Schizosaccharomyces pombe: one gene and its partner. The protein of the gene in region 1 purifies or fractionates together with the protein of each later gene. This does not show direct contact. Each region holds a gene or a part of one and is shown in the gene's direction. Other genes may lie near its edges.

Evidence for each region. Proteins that work in one complex are often made in the same cells at the same time.
Region 2: the proteins of apc13 (region 1) and cut20 purify together in Schizosaccharomyces pombe (affinity purification with mass spectrometry; 4 studies listed by BioGRID, with this or other methods). This does not show direct contact.

Annotation. Positions count from the first base shown.
Region 1 is NC_003423.3:1,832,644-1,839,178, reverse strand, and holds apc13 (anaphase-promoting complex TPR lobe accessory factor Apc13), read left to right. Parts: upstream 1-3,823; 5' UTR 3,824-3,883; coding exon 3,884-4,291; downstream 4,292-6,535. Other genes in the region: SPOM_SPBC28E12.02 (BICC1 family RNA-binding protein), read right to left, coding at 861-2,852; SPOM_SPBC9B6.11C (CCR4/nocturin family endoribonuclease), read left to right, coding at 4,375-4,600, 4,730-6,012; Hsp90 co-chaperone Cdc37, read right to left, coding at 6,159-6,535. UniProt on the Schizosaccharomyces pombe protein: Component of the anaphase promoting complex/cyclosome (APC/C), a cell cycle-regulated E3 ubiquitin-protein ligase complex that controls progression through mitosis and the G1 phase of the cell cycle.
Region 2 is NC_003424.3:4,039,444-4,046,483, reverse strand, and holds cut20 (anaphase-promoting complex platform subcomplex scaffold WD repeat subunit Apc4/Cut20), read left to right. Parts: upstream 1-1,859; 5' UTR 1,860-2,064; coding exon 2,065-2,302; exon of another isoform or gene 2,303-2,350; coding exon 2,351-2,570; exon of another isoform or gene 2,571-2,612; coding exon 2,613-2,735; exon of another isoform or gene 2,736-2,755; intron 2,756-2,826; coding exon 2,827-2,884; intron 2,885-2,910; exon of another isoform or gene 2,911-2,929; coding exon 2,930-4,450; 3' UTR 4,451-4,675; downstream 4,676-7,040. Other genes in the region: MutL family mismatch-repair protein Pms1, read left to right, coding at 51-1,307, 1,349-1,584; prp12 (U2 snRNP-associated protein), read left to right, coding at 4,720-7,040.

The DNA of each region.
Region 1 (6,535 bases):
TATACAAATTTATCGAGATTTATTGTACGACTAAAAATGAACTATACAACATTCCCCCTGTTCATCTTTCGTTAGTGTTATTAGCAATCCTGTCAGCGAGAACGAAGTATTGCTCGACTCTTGAGAAAAAATAAGAGTGGCTTGTTTCTGTGCTACTTGATTAGTTCGTTCAGTTAAGCGTAATATAATTTGTATAAAAAAAACCGAAGAAACCCAATAACCGCAAAGGGTGCATTACGGTTCACACGTCTTTTTTTATAGTCGAACGACGTCTTTATGTTTAACAACTCTTGTGTAATCCCTTTTTGTTTCTTTAATTTACTAATTTAATCATCATGCATTCCAAAGAAAGTGGATGGATTAACTCAATATCGTTTTCTCATCAAATACGATTCTAATTAACTGGTCAAAGAGTGTTAGATGTCACAGCGTATAGCAAGTTGATTAATAACGGTTAGTGCCAGTTTCTACTTCTTTTTACTGAAAAGATGTTTGTTGTTATTATATCAATCTAGCTGTGTTTATCGACGTTTTATCTTTTGTTTTCAATGACAATTTATTAACAAAATAAGAAATAAAAAAGGCATACGAACAGTGGTTGCCGTCCTGCACAAATCGTTGAACTGCTTAAAGTTTAAACTTGTCATGTGCTTCAAAATTCTGCGTGGATCACGTTCATTAAATTATATTGTGCACTTAAGATGTGTATCAAAGTTGATACAGTGGAGCACTTTTGATTTTCAAAAAATTTAGTTTCCGAATTTAATAACCAGCTTGAGTGTCTGTTATGGACATAAAAAATATAACGAGAAAGTGTGGTGATCTATGGGCAGGTCGATGACTGGATTCTGACTTAAAATTCAATTAGCAAACAAATACTTCGGGATGTCGTATCCTAATCCTTCAGCTGTCTTAATGAATAAAGATCGGACGGCCCACAAATTTTCGGAGAACTTTGATGGTGTGCGAATGAGCACGTTGTGCCCGTAACAGTCAAAAGGAGTAGTTGAGAATTCAATGTAACTATTATAAAGTTTAGTTACACGTTGGATTTGCTCTCCTCGAAATCCAATGAGTTTTTTGTGAATCTCCTCTGGAACGTAAAAGTGCATCTCAGCTGGAAATTCAAGCAACATTGTGTTCATTCCTTTAATTACTCTTTCCAATTCGTCACTATATATATCAACCGTGAATATACTCGTCGACTGGGGACAAAACAAGATGTCCCCATTCTTTAAGTTGAAACGGCATTGCTGCTTTACCTTATCCAGTTTTCCATTTTTTTTACCGGATATGAAATCTTGATCCTTGGTTGGGGCTTCAAGCAGTATCTGGTGCCATTGGGATTGTCCAAATTTATAAAATATTTTGCTTGCTTTATCCATTGCTATAGGCACGGTGTTTTCTTGTCCGAAATATTCAATCCCATTGGTTTTTAGGAGCATTTCGACTCCAGAAGCCATGCAAATTATTGCAATTTGAGCTACAAATTCTGTTGGTGGAATACTTAGCTTCTTAAGAGGAGAGAATGACATTTTTTCTCCTATTCCATTTGTTTCCACTATGGAGCCAGTCGAGGATACAATAGAGGACAATTCAGAGCTTGAAACTCCTTTTTCAATTGTAGACGCTCTTCTCCAAGAACCAGCAACTCTCAGAAAGTCTTCGTTGTCTTCAACTCCAAACTGAGTTTTTCCTTGTACATATTTACTTGCAAGCTTTGCCAATCGGAGTGCTGTTTTTTCAGAATTCGCTATAGAAGATGAGTAGATTTTGACTTTTGAATTTTCTGGGCTCGTTTCTCCTCCTTCTTTGAAATACTCAGGAAAGCGAATAAACGAAGAATTTTCTTCCATAATAAGCCGAAGCTCATCCATTTCGTAAGCGAGAAATTCGAAAAGCTTAACAAATGAAATTTCTGTTACGTGAGTAAACAGTTTTAGATGTTCTTCTGCGTAATAAAACGCCTCTTCGAGTCTTTGCAATTTTTCCTCTTCTCCTGTAATAATTATTTTACTTGAGTTTAAGGCGGGTAAGGTTTGAAGCCGAGGGATTGAGTCGCTGCAAAACGGTAATGTATAAATATTAATTGATTCAGTAGCCTTCATTCCGGCAGTACTAGAAAATGCTTTTCCAACGAGAATTGGCTGAAAAGATACAGAAGTTGCAATAGCTACTACCGATAATCCTCTGATTTCATCCATTAATGCTAATACGCGAATTCTAGCATGTTCAACGCTGCAATAGTCACCATAAAAGACAATAAAAAAAGAATTCTCTGCGTTCTTTTGACATGAAAATTCATGCCTAGTAGACTCTAAATGCCTTTGGTAGAAGCTTTGTTGTTCATTTAATCGATTGCTGAATCCGCTGTCAGTACGTAGCTGAAAATCGATATCATGACACATGGAACGATGCATGATATAAATTTTTGCTCCCGTTATTTCCGTTATTTTGTCCAAATGTTTCATAGTGTCTTCATAAACGTACCCATCTTCATCAAAAAGGAGGTTTTCGAGGGGTTCTTCGAGCACAAGTTTGCTGATTAGAATTTTGGGAATGGCTTGCAAAATCTTTATTTTTGCAGTGTACACATTTTTATAATTTCCTGAAACAGTAACCACTAGTTCATTGCGGGAAGATGATATGCTCATTCCTTTATGTTTGACATGTAGTTTTATATTAACTGGCAACTCTTTTTCTGTCTCAATGCACTTTTCTTCGGTTAATCTCCTAATTTGAGAGTAAATATCGCTTTCATAATAGTCACATTTACTAGCATAAAGGGATGCCTCTTCGGGAGGAGGTGTAGATGGATCAGGAATTGGAAATGCTAAAACATGAGAATCCATTTTGGTGATTTTAAGCACAAAATTTTCTTATTGTTAAATCGTTTGATTGGAAATTTCGAAGCTTAGTGAAGAGTAAGTTTTTCGTGTTCGAAAGAAAGATTAAAAGAAATCCAAAGGAATGATAAACGATATAGGTTTGAATACAAAATTATTCCGAAAGTTACTTCTGAAGGGTTGGTTGTTGGTTGTGTTGTTGCTTCCGTGAAAGTTATTGTTTAGCTTCCAAATGTAAATAAACAATGAATAAATCTTGGAATTGATATGCGATTGGCAATGAATGATAGCTTAAACTTTAATTTTTTGCTGAAAAATAAACAGAACGTTTTCGCAGAACGATGTGTATTGTACTAGTTTGACTGTGGAATACAAGTTTGTTTATGCAAAGGTAGACACATATATATATACAGCACATGACTCTAAGGTGATGCACTAATGACTAGGAATACTTTTAACATAACCATCACAATTTTGTATTCTTTTTACTAATTAGGATGGCTGATTTATGATCTGCCAAAGCCTCTTTAACTCAAAACAGTATATGATTTGCCATTGACATTTTTTCAGAAAAGGGGGAATATGATTATATGATTGTGAAATATACGCTTAATTTTTCATTATAACTCTGTCAGTATTGCTAGGGTTTTGGACACAATCATAGCTTAAGTAAAACATTGCACTATTAGTGTCATTCTTTGAAATTTGTAAGCTAAGCAAGCACATATATTTACCTTATTTATCAAGAAAAATAACATGCCAATAGGAATAAATAGATTAAGAGACGAAGGTTTTGAGAAGAATAGTAGCAAACCACCTAACTGATTTTTATTTCTACTTAAAAGTTCATAGAATTATGTGAATAAGAAATTAATCTAGAATTCTTATAATTGATTTTCATGGAAAGATCTCCCTCCCCCCAACTAGTAGACTTTGCTGCTAAATGCTTTGTTTACACACTTACCACCGACTTCTCCAATAACACCAACCGTATAAAAGCACCATAAGTCTCCTACTTGGAATCAGTAAAACAATTAATGGATTCGAATTACAATTATGTTCATATGAATAAACCGGGAGTAGTTTTGTTTGCCTCGGATTGGCTAAAAGATAGACTTCCAGTTGACGATGTCGAAGTGCGAGTAGAACACTTACCACCTGTTACAGAAGATGAGATGACTATTCAACATTCTAGTGCAAATCTAATCTTAATGAAAAACAAACAGCTTAGGCATGAACCGGCTTGGAAAGATTTGGAACTCGAAGATTTAGTTAATGCCTTTGCATTCATTCAAGGCTCTTCAAATGCCGAGGGTAAAAATACAATTGAAGATAATTTTGAAACAGATCCTTTCAAATCAGTCAAAGAAGCTCCAATGGCTCCTTTTCTTGAAGCGAACAGAAGGCATCAAGGAGAGCACGCTAGTATGCGGTATTTTAGATGATATACCTGAGGTTGTACGAACCAACAGTCGTTAATCCATTTCGGCTGTGAAAACTTAAATAAAGTCTACTCAAAAGTCATTGTATGTACACTTGTCCTAAAACGTGTACATTGACTTTGAAGTTTTTTATCGATCGATTCCACACTGATTATAGATTATCCAAACTTGCTATATCATTCTTTGATCAGAAAAAGAACAAGATGGCAGATTCGATACCCGTTAAGAAAAAAGGCTCAGCTAAAGGCCCTCCTTCGTTCGTAACGCCTGAATACATAGAGAAACAACGCCAAAAAAAACTTGAGAAAATGGGTATGAAAAAAAATTTTCGTTCATCTAGTCGAGCAACAATAAGAAGGTTGTTGTGAAACTTTTTTTAAGACCGAATCTCTACTCCTTTGTTTAATTTTTTGTTGCTCAATTTTATTAACTGATTATTAGCTAAGAAGGCTGCTCGAAAACCTATTGCTCCACCAAGCAATGCTCCACCCGAATTCAATACGGACTTTATAAAGCGTGAAATGCTCTCCATCCCTAATTATGCACCGTTTGAAACTGAAAAGTCTGCATTGGATATTACTATTATGACTTACAACGTACTTGCTCAGACAAATATTCGTCGTTCAATGTTTCCACACAGTGGTGAGGCATTAAAATGGAAAAATCGCTCACGAATGCTCGCTAATGAATTAACCTATTATTCACCAACTTTGGGATGTATGCAAGAAGTTGATGCTGAATTTGTTCCTAATTTCTACAAGAAGTTATTAGGTGGATTGGGTTATGAATTGCATTTCATAAAAGGTGAAGGTAAAACTCATGGAATTATGATTTTTTGGAAATCCTCTTTGTTCAAAAAGGTGCAAGATTTGACTATTTATTACGATGATCATGATGAATTACCAGGTAGAATGAACACCAAGAACATCGGTTGTTGTGTACGCCTTGAAAGGGTAGATGACCCGAGCAGAGGGTTGTTCTTGGCTACTACACATTTATTTTGGCATCCTTACGGCTCTTACGAAAGGTTACGCCAAGGTGCAATATTGGTAAAGGAAGTAAACAAGATGGCACAAAGTCATCCTTCTTGGCCTGTTTTTATAGCTGGTGACTTCAACACTGAACCGTTCGATACCAACTTTCCTGCGCTAACTACCCGCCCTCTATCCATCTGCCAAAGGGCTACTGACATTATAGAACGTAGTATGAATTACGTATTTGGGGAATCTGAGTTGGAAGAAAAAAATGCTAGTACTAAGACAGAAAATGATTCCAATGAAGATGACAAAGAAGAATGTCAATCCTCTTCTACCTCAAGTGTTCCCGAATCCACAGCTTCTACCCCAAAAAAGAGAATTTTGCATGTACAAAATGACTATGTACCTCACTACCGTTCTTTTTATCAGCAGCACGAGCAAAATCCCGTACTTTTCAGTCTTTATTCAGTGGGCTATAAACTGGTTCACCCAGAAAATGCAAAAAATACGTTTGATCATCCAGCATTTACCAATTGGGCTCATGCTTACCAGGGCCATTTGGACTACATATTTGTTATGAATCGTGATACCTCACTTCAAACTCCCGAAAATCAAGTCGTTGAAGGTATAAAATTAAAGGCACTGTTACGTGTGCCTTTACCCAGTGAGATGAAGGAAGCGGAGCCTTTAGAAGGAAGATATCCCAGCGACCACGTTGCTTTGATGGCAAATGTACAAATTGTTTAAATACTTATTTTATTATACGGTACACACAAGGTATGGTAAATCAATAAATAAAATTTCATTGTTGTTTATCCATTTAAAAATGCCAACGGCAAACATGTAACTTTGGTGTTTTCGCTTACTAAAAGCACACCCGTAAGCAGAAAAATTTAAGACAATTGAGGAATAGTCTCACCTTTCGTTGTGTCGATGATTCCTTCTTCGATACTCAACATACCAGTACTGCTGAGCTTTTCCACAACTTCTTCTGCATTTTCAACTGCCATTTTTCCAAGAACTACATTAATCTTGTCTAAATCATTGGTCATAAGAGCTTTTTGGAGGTTAGGAGGAAAAGACTCAAAAGCTGCACGAGCTTTTTGTGTCTCTGGATCAGTAGAACCTGCCTCCGGGATGGTGATGGAAAGTTTCGTATTAGGATCAACTGCACAGAGCTGGATTTGTTCTACTCCTTCACCGCTTTCAGCTTGTTCTTTGCTGATGGCAGCAGAACGTTCATGGATTCGGACATATGTATTATGAACAT
Region 2 (7,040 bases), on another chromosome or scaffold:
TGTTTGAGAGAATCTATATACGTTCACTCATTACTAACCAATTATTTTAGGAACTATTGACATCAATGTATCTCCAGACAAAAAATCTGTATTTTTGTCTGAAGAGGATTCCATAATTGAATTTATTAAAAACTCCTTGCAAAACCTATGTGAAAGCTGCGGACATGCAATTTCTTGTTCCAGATCGCAATCCATTTTTTCATATTCCTCGCAAATTCCTGATTCCTCTGGAGACAGTACAGATCAGGAATTGCCTCAGTCAATTCCAGCAACAGAATCCGAAACAAGTGATGACTCAAGTTTTTCTTATAAACGCTCACCATGTAAAAGAAAGCTCGTAGAAGCTACTGCTCAACCAGCAATATCCACTAGTGTTGCAGAAGGAGCGTCATTAGCACAAGTATCCAAACCTTTGCCAGAGCGTTTGCAAAAGGATTCTATGAGACGAAGTAGCCCATTAAACGAAAAAGTTACGGCCTCTTCCGAAAGAATGAAGAAAAAGCTTGCCCTATTCGCTTCTAGTACTGATACTTCTATGCAGAAAACAATAGACTCTAGTTTCCCACTAAAGCAACCCATCAATAAACCTAGCTCGAATCCTAACAATTTGTTACTAAATGATCCAAGTCCAGCATCAACACCTGTTGCTAAAACAATTAATTTAAACGAGATTGAGTCGGTACACAACGCAGAATCAGTTTCCACACTCTCGAGCATTCCTCGTACTGAGCAAACCAGTGTTGCGAACAGAATTCCGTCAAAAACTGCAGCGCTACAAAAGCTCAAATTTTTTCAATCTAGGCCCTTGGATGGTTTAAACAAGTTTAGTAAAAAAATAAATATATCTTTGAGTGGAGTGCAAAAAGATATTGTTCGAAGCGATGCCTTACTGAAATTTTCGAACAAGATTGGCGTGGTGCATGATATTTCAGATGAAAATCAGGAAGATCATTTGAATCTAACTGTACATAAAGCCGATTTTTTAAGAATGAGGGTTGTTGGTCAATTCAATAGAGGATTCATAGTGGTTGTTCATGGAAACAATTTGTTTATAATTGATCAACATGCCAGCGATGAAAAGTTCAACTATGAACATCTCAAAAGTAATTTAGTTATCAACAGCCAAGACTTAGTCCTTCCAAAAAGACTGGATTTAGCTGCTACAGAGGAAACTGTTTTAATTGACCATATAGATTTAATTCGAAGAAAAGGATTCGGCGTTGCTATAGATTTAAATCAGCGAGTTGGTAATCGCTGCACTCTTCTTTCAGTTCCCACGAGTAAGAATGTCATTTTTGACACTAGTGGTAAGTTTATTAACGAAGATCTTGACCTTTAACTTCTGTAGATTTACTAGAGATCATCAGTGTGTTGTCTGAGCACCCACAGATAGACCCATTTAGTAGTAGGCTTGAGCGAATGCTTGCTTCAAAGGCTTGTAGAAGCAGTGTCATGATTGGTAGGGCTCTAACTATATCCGAAATGAATACAATAGTTAGGCATCTTGCTGAGTTGAGCAAGCCTTGGAATTGCCCTCATGGAAGGCCAACTATGAGGCATCTCCTTCGATTAAAAGATATATAATGCGTAAAAGAAAGACTTTTTTAACGATTCTAGAATTTCAGCTATTGAATTAATGAATAATATTGGTTTATTTACAATGTATTTAAAACATAGCAATCAGCAATTATTAAAAGTGAATCTCTTATTGCCAAACTCAATTGAAATTTTTATCATTAAAGAATTATTTTAAGCGAACTTGAACCATGAGGAAATGATTTTTCTTTAGATGTAAATAAACATCGTACTAACGAGGTATGCACAGTTGGATAATCGCTTTCTTAATGTTTTGTATCCCTACAACTTTCATCAACTTCAGTTTTGCAATATCAGTCTTACTTCCTAATAAACCATCTATGCTAGCAAATTTAAAAAGGTTGTATGATAATTGTTGAAACTATCCATTCACTAGATATTTTATATACCTGAACAGGCTTTTATTGACTTGCTGTACTACAATAAACAAACTTCTACGAATCACCAAAATCATCCAGTCTTATCCAAATGGTGTCAAAATCTTTCAAATACCCTAAAAAGCATAAATTTGAATGGATTAATGAAACTAATAGAGTTGAAAGGGTTGGAAGTGGCCTTAAACGAGTAATCTTATGCCCTTCTATGGAACTCATTGCGATATTAACGTGTTCAAATCATTTGATTTGCTGTAGAAGTAACAGTCAAAGAATTTGGGATGTCGATTTTCATGATCTCGAGGCTACTGAATTGTGTTGGAATCACGATGGTACGTGGCTCGACTGGAAAACTTTTTTTGTATCATTAACATAAATAGGGAATTTAATAGTTGTTGGATTTAAAAATGGAGAGCTTAAAATTATTGATTCCTCCACAGGACATCTGGTTGAGCAAAGGCCAGCTTCCAGAGATTTAGCGGTTCTAATGATAACATGGGCCATGCAAGAAACGATAGTAAATGAAAAACGCAATGATTTTTTATTTGATGCCACTGCATATATGCCTTTACTTGGTACACTTCCTAGTTCGGCAAAAGAGTAAGTAGTAACACAAAGCGACTTGTCTCTTACATTTTTTAGGGAACGTATATTTTCTTCAAAAGCAATCGCACAATTTTTTGAGCCGAGGAAACGAGAGGGTGAAAATAACAAAAAAGTTGAGCTCTTAAGTATTTTGGATGAACGTGGAATTAGATACATAAAGTGCGTATCAAAAACCCCTTATTTATTAGCATCTTTCTAAAAGAAGTTTTTTTATCGATCGATACAAATTAGAAGTACTAACTATTCATAGTATGTTTTCGTCTTACAAAATCGGAGAAAGCGATTCTTTGAAATCAGCCTTGAACTTGGTATTATACCCATGTTATTAAATGTCTTGCTCACACAAATTATAGGGGGTTCCCATTTCACACAGCATAACCAACGACTTAGCATATCATGTTCTTATTTGTAAAGGAGGAACGAATATTTCTTTGAAAACACTTTATATGCCATTACTTAAAAATGATTTGGGAAGTATTGTGGATATTGCAACAATGTCTACACGTATGCAACATTTGGTAAGATATCTTGAGGAGGTATTGAATGCTATGTATGAAGAATTTGACAATGTCTTCAAATCAGAAGCTAGCTTTATTAAAACCTTTGATGCTTTAGTGTCCAAGTACAGTGACACAACTTTCTTTTCTTTACAACTAGAGTTATATCAATTTATAATGAACGGTATACCCAGCGACTTACTCAAAGAATGGATCAACGAAAGAGTCGGTGATCGAGTACTAAAAAATTGGGAACGGGCGATGGTGAATTCGTACACGTCCTTAATCATTTTCTGTCAGGAATTCGTAATACCTGCTTGTGAAAGGTTAACTGTATTATTATCTTCTGCCAGAGGAAAGTCAATATGGGGCCATATGAAGGGAAACACATTACTAGATGCTAAATTGGTGGAAGATTGTCTAGCAACTTTGGGTTATTTACAGAATAATGTTTTTTCGTTTCTCAATTGCCTTTTTGAGGAAAAAAAGTATATGAAGCACTTTATTTCATGGTTGAATTACGCTATCGTCGAGTTTAATACTTCTGAACCATCTTCTATTCCACCGCAAGAGATTATTGAACATATTAATGAAACCGTAATTTATATTCGTCATTCTTTATTCCGCTCGAAACTAACAAGTTACTTTATGGGCACAAAACCCCTTCAGCTAAGAGATCCTGATTATTATTCTCTCAAGGATTTTGCAAATCAAGACGACAGTAATTCTGTTGATGATTTCGTATCATTCAAAACCTTGAAAGAATCTTTAAGAGACTCATTCAACGTCATTTTTAGCTACCCTTCTTTAACTTGTCAAAAGCAATGGTTAAAAACCGGAGACCTTGTTTTGTTTGAAGGGACTGATTGGAATGTATCATCTCTTATACCAAAATCCTGTAATGAAAAAAACCAATTATTTTCATTATTCTTTCGAAAGGATACTCCGAATATATTCTTAATAATTTCCCAACTTATGGAAAATACTATGTTGCCTGTATCTGGATGCCACTTTGGCTTGGATTATGCAGAATTACTAGGAAGCAGTCTGTTGGATTTCCAGCCCGCAACTGTTTTAGACATGAAGCTTTTAAACGGAAGTAGTATTTTAATACTTGGAAAACTAAAGGAGAAGTGCTTCTTATGTGAAATTTGCTTAGCAGACGTTCCCTTAACCTTTTTTGAGCACCAGCAAAAAAACAGTTACCTTGATGCTATCAGTCATCTTCCTTTCATTCCACTAAACAGTTGCCTATGGCTGCATGAATTTGAGAAGGATTTCCTTCCTTCAACACTCGAATATGCCCTTTCTGAGAATAGCGATTACGGAGTCCTTATTTCAAGGGAATCTTCGAGATATCGTTTATTCTCTTTTTAATGAGCTTATGTTTAATGGTCGTAATGTTTTTTTTTTCTTGTTTTTGAAGAGCAAGTTACATTTTTTGTAGCGGTCTTTTAAATTTTCTTTTCTTTTTTTTAATTCTTTAATATAATTTAAAAGCAGAAAATTTATACAATATTTTCAATTGCAATAACTTCATTTAGAAAAGTCAACATATAACGAAGTTTTTTACCTTCTGCTATAAGTTTCCTTGATACACTGACTTCTTCTCTCAGCGAGGATCGTGTTTCAGCTAAAGTATAGAGATGGACACCTTCCCTTCTCTGTTTCTATATTCCTTAACAATACAGAATAGTAATTATGTTCAAAGTTCGTGTGCCGCGTCCTTGTCTGGTAAAAAGGCACAGGAGATAGTAATTGCTACAGAATCAAGGTTGCTTATATATAAAGTTGATGCAACTGATGGGAGAATGAATTGTATTTTAAATCAAAATTGTTTTGGTATTATTCGAAATGTTGCTCCTTTGAGATTAACTGGTTTTAAACGCGATTATCTCGTAGTCACGTCGGATTCAGGACGAATAACCATTTTGGAATATAACGTTGAAAAAAATAAATTAGTGCCAATATACCAGGAAACTTTTGGAAAATCAGGAATTCGAAGAGTTGTTCCTGGTGAATACTTAGCCATAGATGCGAAGGGGAGGGCCGCTATGATTGCATCTGTGGAGAAAAATAAGCTGGTTTACGTACTAAATCGAGATTCAGAGGCTAACCTAACAATATCTTCACCACTTGAAGCTCATAAAGCTAATAATATATGTTTCCATTTAATTGGGTTAGATACTGGTTATGCTAATCCCATCTTCGCTGCCTTAGAAGTCGACTACAGCGAAATAGACCATGACTCAACTAGAGAAGCATTTACATCTTCGGAAAAGGTTTTATCATATTACGAATTGGATTTGGGATTAAACCATGTTGTCAAAAGATGGTCGAAGGTCGTTGACAGAAATTCTTATATGTTAATCCCTGTTCCCGGTGGTAATGATGGGCCCTCCGGTACACTAGTAATATCTAACGGATGGATTTCCTACCGTCACCTTCAGAAGGCATTTCATCAAATTCCCATTTTGCGTCGTCAAGCTGCATCGGCAAACGCCATATCCACTCCATGGAATCAAGTCAATTCAAACTCTGCAAATGATGGTCCTTTGATTGTTAGTGCTGTTCTCCATAAAATGAAAGGATCGTTTTTTTATCTTTTACAAACTGGTGACGGGGATTTGCTGAAGCTGACAATCGAGCATGATGGTCAAGGGAATGTTGTTGAACTAAGGTTAAAATATTTTGATACAGTTCCCCTGGCAGTTCAGTTAAATATTTTGAAAACTGGTTTTCTATTCGTTGCCACGGAATTTGGAAACCACCAATTGTATCAATTTGAGAATTTAGGTATTGATGATGATGAATTGGAAATTACTTCTTTAGATTTCCAAGCCCAGGACAATGAAGTCGGTACAAAAAATGTGCATTTTGGAGTCCGCGGTCTACAGAACCTTTCTTTGGTTGAAGAAATACCAAGCCTATATTCGTTAACAGATACGTTACTTATGAAGGCGCCCTCGTCAGGCGAAGCTAATCAATTATATACAGTATGTGGAAGAGGCTCAAACTCTTCTCTGCGTCAGTTGAGAAGGGGTTTAGAAACCACAGAGATCGTAGCGTCAGAACTTCCCGGTGCCCCTATTGCAATTTGGACATTGAAATTAAATCAAACCGACGTTTATGACTCTTATATTATTCTTTCGTTTACAAATGGAACCTTGGTTCTTTCTATTGGAGAGACGGTTGAAGAAATATCTGATAGTGGATTTTTATCATCAGTCTCAACTCTAAATGCGAGGCAAATGGGAAGGGATTCGTTGGTTCAAATTCATCCTAAAGGTATTCGTTATATTAGGGCTAATAAGCAAACAAGTGAATGGAAATTACCTCAGGATGTGTACGTTGTACAGTCGGCAATTAATGATATGCAAATAGTTGTTGCTTTAAGCAATGGAGAACTCGTTTATTTTGAAATGAGTGATGATGTTGAAGGAGGTCAGCTCAACGAATATCAAGAAAGAAAAACGCTTACTGCTAATGTAACTTCTTTGGCTTTAGGCCCCGTACAAGAAGGATCAAGAAGAAGTAATTTTATGTGCTTAGCATGTGACGATGCTACGGTGAGGGTGTTGTCTCTCGATTTGTACACAACCTTAGAAAATTTGAGTGTACAAGCCCTTAGTTCTCCTGCCAATTCTTTATGCATAATTCCGATGAACGTAAATGGTGTGAGTACTCTCTATTTACATATAGGTTTAATGAATGGTGTCTATTTACGAACTGTTATCGACGTTACATCCGGGCAACTTTTGGATACAAGGACTAGATTCTTGGGTCCACGAGCTGTCAAGATCTATCCAATAACCATGAAAAATCAAAATACGGTGTTGGCGGTGTCTTCTCGTACCTTCCTTGCATATAGTTATCAACAAAACTTGCAACTATCACCAATCGCTTATTCTGCAATTGATCATGCTTCATCTTTTGCAAGCGAACAGTGTCCAGAAGGTATTGTAGC